Linked DNA regions of Tribolium castaneum. The main gene of each other region encodes a partner of the protein of the gene in region 2 in a complex. Links are inferred from orthologs where the notes say so. Each region holds a gene or a part of one and is shown on either strand. Other genes may lie near its edges.

The links. Proteins that work in one complex are often made in the same cells at the same time.
Region 1: Polr1C (region 2) and Polr1H share a complex: the UniProt entries of both Homo sapiens proteins name them as parts of the pol I pre-initiation complex. The link is inferred for Tribolium castaneum from reciprocal best matches to the Homo sapiens genes POLR1C and POLR1H.

Annotation. Positions count from the first base shown.
Region 1 is NC_087397.1:21,420,298-21,422,845, forward strand, and holds Polr1H (DNA-directed RNA polymerase I subunit RPA12), read left to right. Parts: upstream 1-1,446; 5' UTR 1,447-1,535; coding exon 1,536-1,662; intron 1,663-1,719; coding exon 1,720-1,970; 3' UTR 1,971-2,001; downstream 2,002-2,548. Other genes in the region: PolD1 (DNA polymerase delta catalytic subunit), read right to left, coding at 986-1,250, 1,300-1,352. UniProt on the Homo sapiens protein: Core component of RNA polymerase I (Pol I), a DNA-dependent RNA polymerase which synthesizes ribosomal RNA precursors using the four ribonucleoside triphosphates as substrates. Can mediate Pol I proofreading of the nascent RNA transcript.
Region 2 is NC_087396.1:18,341,459-18,344,403, reverse strand, and holds Polr1C (DNA-directed RNA polymerases I and III subunit RPAC1), read right to left. Parts: upstream 2,014-2,945; 5' UTR 1,902-2,013; coding exon 1,839-1,901; intron 1,790-1,838; coding exon 1,489-1,789; intron 1,442-1,488; coding exon 1,322-1,441; intron 1,277-1,321; coding exon 863-1,276; intron 814-862; coding exon 704-813; 3' UTR 623-703; downstream 1-622. Other genes in the region: proteasome activator complex subunit 4, read left to right, coding at 1-100, 150-359, 406-540; N-acetylneuraminate lyase A, read left to right, coding at 2,021-2,272, 2,319-2,658, 2,707-2,852, 2,898-2,945. UniProt on the Homo sapiens protein: DNA-dependent RNA polymerase catalyzes the transcription of DNA into RNA using the four ribonucleoside triphosphates as substrates.

The sequences.
Region 1 (2,548 bases), on a different chromosome or scaffold from region 2:
TCTTAAAAATACCATGCAATGGTGCAATAATAAACAGGGTGTTGCATTTGAAAAAATCGAGTTATTGCAATATGTAGTTTGTCATATTCAGAAAATCGTAGTAGGCGCTAAAATATCGACATCGAGTTTGCTTTTATTGCAAAAGATGCGCTAAAGCTTAAGAAGTTGGCTAAGAAAAAAAATTGTTACATTATCTTAAATGGTTCTGAAGTTATACATTTTTTGAGGGTCTTTGCACGACACACTTTTCACACATAAATTGACATAAGTCAAAAACTATGACAGATAAGTCTATAAAACCCGGGTGCATTATATCGACAATTTAGTCACGTTTTCAAAAATATAATAAAAATTGGGGTTTCCAATTAAAAAAACAAAACCTAGTGGAGTATTTTATTACAACATTACAACATAAAAATATTGTAAGACCTATCGTTTAAAAAAACTTTAAATTGATAGTTTGCATAGAAAAAAAGTTATGGAGCATGCACGAACTCTTGGGTCACTCTGTATATGCACTACCTCGTGAGACACCCTGTATATTTTAGGTGCAAAATGCTTGGTTCAATACTTTAAATTGAAATTAGCTGTTATAAATTATTCACGCACTTCAAAAAAATAATAGCTAATCTAATTTATACTTTCAATGATAGTTCCAATCATAAATAACAATTTTACAATTTTATCAATACTATTTAAAAACAATATTCGGCAAAATGCGGCGTTGGTGTTTTTTAAGTTTTGAATGGTAAAAGCTCAGATCAAAGTAGTTAGCGTTGTTATGTTTACGCAATTGTTTATTCATTGTTTATTTGACAATTTATTACCAAACAATTACCACTTGTTACCAAACGTATATAGTTATTTTTTTTATATAAACAACTGTCAGTGTCAAAATTCTGATAAGGACAAGACTGTATCAGTACTTAATCTTAGAACATTTTATCGCGTTTTATATTGGGTTTAAATATTAAACAATTCCTACCTTGAAACGGGACAAATCCGCTTGTGTAAAATCATTCGGCAGATTAATGTAAAAGTATGGAGAAAAACCATGAATATGACAACACACACTATTGCCCACTTTTGTAATACCAAACATTCGAATCACAGGAACAGTACCAGTTTGAGCCCCTGGCATTCCAGGATAAGGGGCTGAAATGTAATGATCCAACTCTAATTCTTGAAAAATTAGTGCATCATCAGTGGGGTTTAAATCGCCAACTGGGGGGCGAAAAATTTTGTCGTTCCTTCAATTAACCAAATAGAAAACAATCATTTTTTGTCAAGAAATCTTACTTGAACCTCTTCCCTGATGAATTCGGAGGCGGAAGATTGCGTTTTGTTGCCATTTTGCTGTAAACAAACGGACTCCAAACAAGATATTTCAGTTTCTTCCCGCTTAAAATAATTATAGGTTATGTTGTCTTGAAATGCGTGAAGTGTGACCAATATGTAAATTGGAAAATTCCCAACAGTTGACACATGTGTTTTTTAGGTTAATTTTTCGAATTAAATCACTCAAAAAATTAAAAATGAGTACTGGCCCTAATTTTGAAAGTATCGAAGGGTTTTGTCCCGACTGTGGTTCCATTTTGCCACCTTTAAAACAAACAGGAGGTGTGAAATGTTATGCCTGTGAACGCAATTTTCCATCAGATGGTAAGTTAAATTTGTCTCAATGATAATTCTAAAGAATTGATAATACTTTTTTTGTAGTTTTTCGAGGAACTAAAGCTTCATATGTGATACACTTCAATTCGCGAGACTACAAAACTCATTCAATGAACAAGCAGAACAATAAAAAGGATGAAGAAGAAGATGATGGTCCTGTTGTTGATAGAAAATGTGCCAAATGTGGTCATGATAAAATGACTTATGCGACAGTTCAATTGAGATCAGCAGATGAGGGCCAAACTGTGTTTTATACTTGCACAAAATGTAAATTCAAAGAGAGTGAAAATTCGTAATTGGTCAATAAATACGCATTTTTGTTAATAACTAATTTATTCAATTTAAAAGCATTAATAATTAAAAAAAATGAACAAATAATCTATAGTCCTATGGAGGACTATAGATTAGGAAGCGAGACGGGGTGTAAAATAGTACGGTAGAATTAAAATTGGGCGCTTCGAGTGTTATTTGGCGCCTAATAATCGTTTTACATTAATTTTATTTCAACCAATTAATGGAAAAAATACATCCGTACCGTAATAGGTTGAAAAAAAGTGACGCCCAAAATTTTTACGAGAAACGTGAAAAACAATATTTGAAATCTGCCGCATTGTCTCATATTTTTCAAAACGCTGCAAATACAGTTGAAGATACAAAAAAATGACTAGTGACTGTTTTAGGCTCTACACCAACTTACAACATGAGTGAAAGTGAGACTTAATTGTTTGTGTTATGTTTTTACTTAATAAAAAAAGTCTACCTTTTATATTATTGCTTTGGATGTTACAAAGTTCTGTTTACTTGAATCACCCTGTATTTTTACGTTAAAGTTCGCTGCCAAAAGATTAAAGATTGATATTGTGTTTTAAACCTT
Region 2 (2,945 bases):
ACTACTCGAAGATGTTCAACCTGAAGTTAGAGTTAGTGCTAGTCAAGTTTTAAGCGGTCTTTTGCACTGCCAATTTATTCCAAACCCTCAAGAATTATTAGTAATTATTCGGGTTCTTAGTTTATCGTTAAATAATTCGTGAATTCTAGGCGCAATTTAAACAGAAAGCGAAAACTAAATTGAAGAAGAAAAATTTGAACAATTCAAACAGTTTGAATCTTAGTACTTTAAGATTTAGACATGCTGGAGTTTTGGGCTTGTGTGCTTTTATCAATAGCCATCCATACGACGTACCTGACTTTTTACCGGATGTTTTTGGACAATTAGGACCCCATTTGAACGACCCCCAACCCATTCCTGTGAGTCACACTTTCGTCGTTTAAAAAAATAATTAATAATTTTTAGGCAACAATTCGCAAAACCTTGGGAGATTTCAAGCGAACGCATCACGAAAACTGGGAAATCCACAAACTCAAATTTACTGAGGAAGAACTGTTAGTTTTAAGTGATCTCACAGTGCCTCCCAGTTATTACGCCTAGGCAATAATTTTCCGATTCCAGTCAATTTACAATTTAATTTTTTACTAGACAATAGGTGAAGGAAGGTTTAAGGTAGCAAAAATTTACGCGTCAAATGTTTTTTATTTTTAACCTTGTTCATTATATTTTTTGTGGTTTGATAAAAGTATATTAAGTGAAATGTTTATACATGACTTAATTCATCTAATAAAGCAAGACATTTGTCTTTTAATATTTTAACAGCTTCCATGAATATCACATCAGGTGGTAAAGCCCCCACAGATTCGACCGTAACTAAATTACAATTAATAAAAACTGAAAAAGTAAATAAAAAAAAACTTACAAATGAAATGATCCTGAATTTTGGTCATCGCTACTGCGTCCTTGAGGTCTTCATAACGGAAAACATTCCGACTTCCTGTATCATACCTCGCATTAGCTACAACAGCGTATTTGCGGCCTTTTTCATGTCGGATTGAAATCACACCGGGAGAGAAACATTTTTGGAGTCTCTCAGCTGCTTCACCTTCCACTTCTCGTAATAATTTTATGTCGGGAAGAAGGCGATAAAATGCGGTTGCGACAGGAGAAAATTTCGCATGGTCTCGCCCGTTGCTCTTGACTGCTAATAATTTTAAATCTAACTCATGGCCTGGCCTCATTTTGGCAATGAGAATGTCAGGGTGGATGGGGCCCACGTCACTAAACCGCTCCTTCTGTTTACCAATGGGCACCCATTTGATGTGTTTTGAATACACTAAAATTATTGCAATTTTTATTGTTTCTCAAACGGGGTAATTACCATTATTGTTTTTGTACATATCTTCAGCTCGCAGTGAGTCTTTACTGCTGTCTTTATTATTGGTACATTTAATTTTTAACGCAAACTCTAGAGTATCCTGTTCGGTACCTTCAGCAGTTGCTGTAAAAATATTGTAACGTTTGGAACGGCAACATTACAAGACTTACGATCAGTTTTCATTTCAAATAATCGGGGGTCGGCCTTTAGCGGTATCAGGCCTAAACGATGGGCCAAAACTTCGTCTTGGATTATAGACGTGTTATTAAGAATGTGAACCTTTTCAATGGCCATTGTGGGGACATCACTCAACATTAACCTTCTGAAAGTGTTTGCTAGGAACGGGTGAATCCCTATCAAGTCAAATTCGAGTTCATTCTCTTCACTTCGCACAATCACCACCCTAAATCTCTTCTTAAAGGTTTTCAAGTCCCATTTCTCGTCCAAAACAGTTGGTTCCGAGGGCAAATTCTTCAAAGGATGTTTGAAGGAATTTAATACAAAATAATAAAGGACATACCTGCGTCACTTTATATTCTCCTAAAATCACTCGAGGCTTTTCGTCATTCAGAATATTATCCATTTTAAACTTGTTTCAAAAACTTGGATAACCTCAAACAACGCACGTTTTTCGTAAAAATGACTACCAACCTTACCGTCCTTACCACCCAAAAGCCACTTAAAATGTCAGCTTTTTAGGTTATGTTTTGTGAAAAATATAAACAATTTTTGAAAAATATGACGAAACCCGAATGCTCCAAACAGGAAGCTTCAAACACGAAAAGCAAGGCTGAAAAAGACTCACAAATAAGCACACCTGAAACGGCTAAGGCTCTGTTTGCCGATTTTGTGCCAGAAGAGTCAGACAGCGAAGAAGAAAATGAGAAACAAGACGACAAAAAAGACGAAAATCTTGAACCAGCGTCAAAGAAATCACGAGACAGTAACTCGAAGGTAAGTCACCAGTACACCAAATGAAAAACCAACCACCTTCCCGCAGAAATACATACCAAAGTACAAAAAAGAATGGGAGAATAAACCCGAATTGAAAGCATGGTTATCAGAGAGCATACATGGAAATACGTATTTCTACTGCAAATTCTGTAAAAAGGATTACAGATGCGGGATTTCCGACATTCACAAACACATGTCGTCAAAGAAACATGCCCTCAAAGCGGCAATGCCTGCATTCAAGGCACAGAAATTTAAATTTCGGGGGCTTTTGTGCCCCGTCTTTACCCCATTTACTAACTTAAAAAGAGTGACACCTGATGTAAACCTTAAGGCTATACCAAAATACGCAAATTTTTTAAAAGCTTGCAATATTAAAGGAATTTTAAGTATTTCGCAACTCTAGAAAATGAATTAAATTAAATGGTCAATTTTAGTTAATGACATAACCGGGGAAGGAATGTCCTTAACCATTCATGAAAGAATAGATTTGGCGGACGCGTGGGCTGACGCTTGTGAAAAAACAAATCAGTTTTTGATGGCACAAATCGGGGGAGCCCCCCTCAAAGACGTTATAGAAATGGTAGTTTAAACATTTGTTAAAACTGTTAATATTTTTCATTTGTAGGCAAAACACGCCGCTAAGAGGGACATCGGCGCTGTTGTAATCCTCCCC